Oryzias latipes: one gene and its partner. The protein of the gene in region 1 interacts with the protein of each later gene in a biochemical or structural test. Links are inferred from orthologs where the notes say so. Each region holds a gene or a part of one and is shown on either strand. Other genes may lie near its edges. The genes, in order: mapk8ip3 and mitogen-activated protein kinase 10.

Region 1 (3,827 bases):
ATTTATGTTTTTTCCTTGTAAAGTTTTTGGTACTTGTAGAATTATTTATTGCTTTTTTTGTGCTTACAATTTTTAAAGCTTTTACTTATTTTATGACAGCATACATTTGTATTTTGCAGTTTATAAAGATATTTTGAAAACAAAAGTAAATAGATATCAATGATTTTTAAAAAATCATTTTAAGAATCAAAAAGGACTTAAAAGATTCAAAACCCTTTTTTCTCCCAGTTAGTGACTTCAGCATATAACAAATAATTTTTAATTTTTATTAATTACACTTTTTACTCAGTCAGTTTTAAGATCAAATAGTAAAAAAAGGTTTAGCTTTCATTCAACACTTTTTATGTCCAAGTCTTATATGAAACATTTTCAACAAGGAGCTTAACTGTTAAGCCCTCTCTATACATCAAAATGAAAGTATTGATGCTTTAAAAGCGTAGGTTTATGTTCTAACCTTTTTGCTGCACAGCATTACCTAGTTTCTGTTCAGAAGCAGAGTTCATAAATTACAGAATTGCATTAAATAAAATCTAAATTTCAGTTATTTTGATTCAGATCTAAGCCCATCAGTCCTCCCTGTGGTTATTTCCAAGTTTAAACAAATAAACTTCATGCAGACTTCTAAAAAATGAATAAATACTATAAAAGCCAGTCTTTTGAAAGGCTCTTTGAAACTGATACAAAAGATTTGGCTCACTAGAAAGAGCCATAAATCCAATCACTAGCTTTTTTGCATTTGATGTGCTCTCAAATTAAATTTCCACTTATTATGAAACGATAAATTGTCAAATATCAAACATACCAGCAGCTAAATACTCAGCTTCTTTGTCTGGGTCTCACTTTTCTCTTTGTGGTTTTTATCTATTACCCTTTGTGTCACACATCGCCACTCATCAAGGAGGATGGATCTGAGTCTGACTCAGTGGCAGCTACACCCAGCAGCACAGGAAGCAAGTCCAACACACCCACCTCCTCTGTCCCCTCCGCCACGGTCACCCCTATCAATGAAGGGTTCCTGCTACAGTCTGATTTTGACATGGTGCCTGCTGGGAACAGGAGGAAAAGTGGCAAGCGTTTAAGTCGGAACATGGAGGTGCAGGTTTCCCAGGAAACCAGGAATGTCAGCATTGGTGAGCAAATGCTAAACCAAATAAGAGGAAAATGGAGCTTTTCTCTTCCATTGTTAATTATTTATTGAAATGTTTCATAAATTGGAAGCTGTGTGATGTATTTATGATATTCCAGGTATGGGAAGCAGCGACGAGTGGTCAGAGTTTCAGGAAATCATTGACTCCACTCCAGAGCTGGAACACTCCGTGTATGGAGGAGGAAACAGGTTAGGACTATGTTGTGGTCTTTTTATTTGTACATTAAGAGCTTTTATAGCACTTTTACTATCTTTATATATATTATTATTATTTTCTTAAGATTATAACAACAAAGTTAATATCATGGATTCTGCAAACTCCAAAAGCTTTGCCTTTATCCTATTCAAAAAACCTCAACACTAATGTAGATTTTTGCTCCCATCAGGACCAAAAATGTTAATTCATTTCAAATACTAGAAGAATCTAGAAACTTTTATTTTGATGGAAGATACAACAGCAGTGCAGATTAGTAGATTTTTGTGTGTTTCAGTCCCTGTCAGGGCATAGTCAACGAGGCTTTTGGCATCAACACTGACTCCCTGTACCATGAGATCAAAGACGCCAAATCGGACATCATCGGGGATGTGGATGCAGGCGCCGAACTGCTGGGTATGAGGAGGGCTTTGGCTCTGGCAAACTCATTTATGAGCTTCAAAATATGATTTTGTGTAAATATGACATGTGATTTCAAACACTTTTCATGCCAAAGTGGTGGAGCATAAGGGCTGATGCATTCATGTGTTGCAGTTTTTAATTTAGCTTTTAGTTGATTTTAACTGATTTCCCTTCTCTACCTCTGTGCCGGTCCCAAGCCCGGTTTGAGAAGGTTGCGTCAGGAAGGGCATCCGGCGTAAAACATTGCCAAGTTTACCATGCGACTTGTTCGCTGTGGCGACCCCTGATGGGAGAAGCCGAAAGAGGAAGAAGTTGATTTTAACTGATATTTTATTCTATTACTTTTAGTATAGGCTATTTTATGTATTTATTTTCATTTTATGCATCTTATGCTCAATTTTATGTTTTTATATAAATCTTAACTCTCTAATTTTAGTATCTTATCATGATTTTAGCCCCAGTGTTTCTTGTGGGGATCTTTTCCTCCAGGGCTTGCCTGCTTGGTCGGTGGTTGTTGCTGCAGTTCTTGCCCTTGCTGGGGCAGCTGGGGTCTAACTTTGCAGCTTCACAGCTGTGACGTGGACCCCAGTGTTGTCCCAGTCTGGGTGGGTGCTGTGGCGATGCTCCCATGGCCAAGCTGGCTCCTGGAATGAAAGGATTCCCAAATACTGTTTCCTCACAGCAGAGCCAAGCCATACTTGTTTGTTTGCTTGCTTATTTATTTACTTATTTATTTTTCTAAAGTTACATAGTCATTATTCTTTGTACGGGGGGGGGGCATGGGTCATATGTTTGAACGGAGGGGAGTGGGAAGGGTAAAGGGTGGGTTGGGTTTTTACTGTAATATTGTGTGTGTTCTGTTTTTAATGTTAAAGCGCTTCGAGCTGCACAAAATGCATGAGAAGCGCTATTTTATAAATAAGGTTTGATTTGATTTGATTTGAGAAGCAGCTTTTTGCTTTTCCTTTTCTGCAGACAGCTTCATGTGAGGCTTCGGGAATGCTTCACTGCACTCTTGTTTTTTATTTGCCTGGAAGGCTGCAGGGCTGCATCACTGCAAAGTCATGCAAGAAAAAAAAACAGTCATGATTAGAGGAGCAGATATGACATTTCTACAGCAGTTTGATTCACACTTTAAAAAGGTTTTTTTCATATAACTATAACATTTATGGTCCGTTTAGTGCAGTTTCACATCATGGCTACATTTGTTTTCTTGCTTTATGTTTGTAATGATCCAATAATTTTGTTTATTTTAGTTTCTGTTTCTGAATTTAGGTTGCTCTGAGCTTCGTTATACCATCCCTGACTTTTTACGTAGATGGAGCAGACAGGGAAATTTGACCCGGTTTCAGTCCATCTGGTAACCTCTCACCCATTTCTTTTCTTTTTTCCCTTTTATGTGCTTCTGCCGGTGACACCCATAGGGGAGTTCTCAGGTGTGTATCTTGTGCATTGGTATTCTTTTCTTTATTCCCTCAGCTCTTTTACTCTTTTACTTCTCTTCGAACCGAAGGAAAACAGTCCATTTATAAAATACCTGAAAACAAAGACACACTACATTTTATAATAATGTATGAAAAATGTAAACCTGATTAAAAAAATAGTTCAATGAAGAGTTTAATACTTTAAAATTCAAAAGCAACCAGATGTGTCAATCACTTTCAAGATTTGTAAAAATTAGAAACAGAATCAATAAAAAGGTAAAGAGGTTTTACCAGCATCATGCTTTAAATACACCTCTTTTTAGATTTTTTACCCCCTATTGATGCCTATTGATGCAAATGTGACTCAAACCACTTCAGCTCCAAAATTATCTTAATTTAGCATCTACATGAAAGTATTTCATAGCTTGAAATGAATTCAGACATCAGGGGGTTATATATATACCTGTTTATTAGTCACTCATTCTGATCCTGAAACTTGTAAACTACAAGTGTATCATCCAGAAAAGACAATAAAGCCTATGCTTCCTAAAGTTTTCTTGGACATTGTTCTTTGGACAATTTTTGAAAGACTTTTGTATCCAAGGATGTAAGTTTTATCCTAAAGGTAGCATTTTTCTAC
Region 2 (3,827 bases), on another chromosome or scaffold:
AAACCCAAAGTGTGCCTGATAAAAGGATGGAAAAGCTTCTAATAGACTGAAAGCAATGGTGAAACAGCAATCCGATAAAAACAACCCCAGAAACAGTTTAAAAGAAAACACAAAAATGGCACATATAATAAAAAAATAAGAAGAAAAGTAAAAAATAAAATAAAAAAAAAGCAAAAAGGTGAATGTTTTTTCTAGTAACTAAATATATATATATATATATATATATATATATATATATATATATTATTTATTTATTTATTTATAGTTACTAGAAAAATACACTAAATGTCAAAAAAAGAAAAAAAGAATCAAGTTTTTGCTTTAATTTTTATCAGGAATTAACAAAATATTAACAGATTATGATGTTTATTTGTAACGACCATTTTTGAAATCATACTCTGAGAGTACTAAAATATCATTCACCTCATTAGTGTTCTTTAATGTTTCCTGGGTTCAAAAGGCTGATTTTTCCCTGATGTCATTGAATGCGGTGAATATCAACTGTGCTTCATTGGTTTATATTTGCACCCACAGCCAGCCAGGCCAGAGACCTGCTGTCTAAGATGCTGATCATTGACCCTGCTAAACGAATATCAGTGGACGAGGCCTTACAGCACCCCTACATCAACGTGTGGTACGATCCGGCTGAAGTGGAGGCGGTGAGTCAGCTGTTTGTCTGTGGTTGGTGCTCAGTTCTGTCTGTGATTGATTGGTCAGGACACTCTACATCTATAGAACATGGGCAGATTAACCATCAGTGTCTCCTGGAAAAACTAAAAAGTAGACAAAAATGATGACTGGCCCTTTAAATATTTTTCAATCGTATTATTTGTTCTTTTTAATTTTTTTATTTTACATTTATCTTTAGTCAGTGATGTCGTTTTGGCATTTTCTTGTAAGGAACTGTCTTTTTAGTGTTACTTTAATGGTGGCCTTGAAGTGCAAGTCATTTGAACTTTAGTCTTAAAATCCAAAACAAACAACTTTAACACCACTTCGTTTGTAAAATGCCAATTAGGCCAATAATCAAGCATGGTGGTGGAGGGGTAATAATTTGAGCTAATTTGGTATAAGGTTTTTGTTTATTTACAGACATTTACTGCTTCCTAGAATTCACTATGGCTGCAATTTTCTACTTAAAATAAATGATCGCTGCTAATTTCTGCTAATTTATATGACATTTAAGGACATCTTGTTTTATTATGAGATCGTTAATTGACTGCTGTTGTATATAAATACTGCCTTATTGCTGAATGCATATGCAGATAAGAGGAGGAGAAACCCTTTTTTTTGCGTCTGATCTCTGCTGGCTGCTTGTAAAGGGAATAATAGCTAACTTATTCTTTAAAAAAAAAAAAAAAGCCACTCAGTTCTTTCAGAAGAACTTTTCTAGGTCGTATCTGCTCAGTTTGTGGGTTGAGTGAAAAAGAGAGGAGGATCATTGGGCTGAATGTGAGCCAGGATCATTATGAAACAGAGATAAAAGAGATTGAGTTGATGCCAGACAACATATCTGTGCTCTGGTCAATGAAATCATGTGGAAGAAGGATTGAGGCACTTTAACAACAATTTGTTCCTGACTGTGAAAAGCTTTAAATGACAAAAGATACATCTGTTAACATATTTTCTTTCATTTTTCCTTGACATTTAACTAAGTAAGTAAATATAAAAATGTAAGAAAGTTGTTTAATACAATCCAAATATTTAGGATTGAATACGATAAATTTCTCTTCTCTTTTAGATTGTTTCCTATTATGCTGCTATGGGCTAAACTGTTCGTTCTTCTGTTGATTTGGTGTTTACTTTATAACCTTGCTTGTGAATATGTGGTCTTTTGTGCCAGAAAAATATTTTCAGACTCAGTCATACACCATAACACATTATTTCAAATAATTTCAAATTTCAAAAAGGAAAAAAAAACACATTGCTATGTTCACCTGGCCTTCAGATACTGCTTTATTCTTGCTCTTCAACTGTTGAACTTCAAGTTCTGTTGCACAGCAACCTAACCTTGTGCATTTTTGTGTTGAATATGATTTTGTACCTAGTTTTGATAGCTTGCATTGATGCTAAAATGGACTGTTCTATCTCTTCTTTAGCCTCCTCCTCAGATCTACGACAAACAGCTGGATGAGCGAGAACACTCCATTGAAGAATGGAAAGGTGAGAATGGTTGTTTTCGAGACTTTACTAACCAACAGAACTGTTTTGTTTTGGGGGGTGAATTCTCTGACCTATCCCCCTTAATCTGTGCACCTTGTCAGAACTAATCTACAAAGAGGTCATGAACTTTGAGGAGAGAACGAAGAATGGCGTTGTGAAGGGACAGCCTTCACCTTCAGGTACTCTCAGTGCATAAGCCTAATCGCTCTGTAAGTGAATTTACTATAAACTTATTGGAGTTTCCCCTTGTAAATAGAGAAACCCATTGTGCTCTTGATCGTGTGTGTGTGTCCTGCATCTCTAGTGAAATATCGTTTAGTTCAATGGCTGTACTTTGATGTGTTTGTGAAACTGACACTAAAAAACTTGCAACTGTTAATCAACCAAACAACTTCCTGTCACTGAGGATTTCATGGCACTTGTTTCATTTGTGACACTATGTGATTAAAATATGTTATAACTTAAGGTTTGGGTTCTGCAGTTCCAGTGAAGGTCAATGTAAAGGAGGTACAGCCACAAATTTGTACAATTTTTAGAACTGATGTTCACTTTATCTACCGCAGGGGGGCAGTAAAGAGCCACAAAGAGCAGGCAGACTTCCTCTACGGATTGGAAAAAGCAGAACAGCAATACTGCAAAAAAAAAAATGTAATCTTGTCATTTGAAAAAAATTTTTATAGACATATCGTCTGGAATGCTTCTTTTCTTTCCAAAACGTACAACCTTTATCCTTTTCCACCCTTCCATCCTCTTGTCTATAAGAGGACTGGCTGGACTTTTGCTTCTGAGGCTGAGCACATCAGACGCAGTGCAGGAGTTGCAGACACGGGCATTTCACTGCAGCAGAGAAGGAGAAGGGCTCTGAAATTGAGCCCATCCCCGTTCACTTTATGAAAATCTGCACTGCTGTTAGAGTCTTTGCAAGTCATCCCACAATTCCATTAAAGTGAAACACCGATCCTGGCATGTAAGCCTTTTGTGATTCTGTGTTTAGTCAGTTAAAGAGATAAATATTCCACTGAACTGTACACACACACACACAAAAAACATCAGCATTTGGATGTTTTTTTGCATTTAATCTGTCCTAAAAACTTTGTAATTAATGAAATTAATACAGTTGGTTAAAGTGTATCACTGAAGACCTTAACATTCATGTTGTTCTGCAAAAATACTCGTAAAAAACACATCATTTTTATGTAAGAAAAAATGAAAATGCCTTGATGCATTATAAAAAAAAAGAATATTTTCACAAAAACTCTATTTAACCTTTTGTTAGCGACTGATGAGACTAGATTTCAATGTCCTTTTCCCCTTTTTGTTCCACTGCATCCTGTGCGAGGACGACTACCAATGATCAAATAATGCAAATTATGAGAAATCTCAGGTTTAATAAGTGGATAGTAAACTTTTCTGGATCTTCTGGATTCCTTGCCCCAATATTTAAGGGAGCCACCCTGCACCCATGCACTGGTATCTTGGACCTTATCGTTTTGGATCATGACCCAAAGCTCATGACCATGCAGCTGAGGGCAGGGTCTTAGCTTGATCAGTAAATCTGGTTTGGTGAAGCCAGCAGAGGAGGATCATTTTCAATAAGCAGATATGAAATCCTTTGATCAACTTGTAAGTAGAGGTCATTCCCCAATGCCCCTTCTTGAAAAAGG

The links.
Region 2: the proteins of mapk8ip3 (region 1) and mitogen-activated protein kinase 10 form a complex in vitro, tested with the Homo sapiens proteins (3 studies listed by BioGRID, with this or other methods). The link is inferred for Oryzias latipes from reciprocal best matches to the Homo sapiens genes MAPK8IP3 and MAPK10.

The regions. Positions count from the first base shown.
Region 1 is NC_019866.2:14,602,517-14,606,343, forward strand, and holds part of mapk8ip3 (C-Jun-amino-terminal kinase-interacting protein 3), read left to right. Parts: intron 1-898; coding exon 899-1,130; intron 1,131-1,245; coding exon 1,246-1,336; intron 1,337-1,638; coding exon 1,639-1,757; intron 1,758-3,187; coding exon 3,188-3,199; intron 3,200-3,827.
Region 2 is NC_019870.2:10,343,267-10,347,093, reverse strand, and holds part of mitogen-activated protein kinase 10, read left to right. Parts: intron 1-534; coding exon 535-659; intron 660-2,099; coding exon 2,100-2,163; intron 2,164-2,264; coding exon 2,265-2,342; coding exon of another isoform or gene 2,343-2,359; exon of another isoform or gene 2,360-2,372; intron 2,373-3,827. UniProt on the Homo sapiens protein: Serine/threonine-protein kinase involved in various processes such as neuronal proliferation, differentiation, migration and programmed cell death.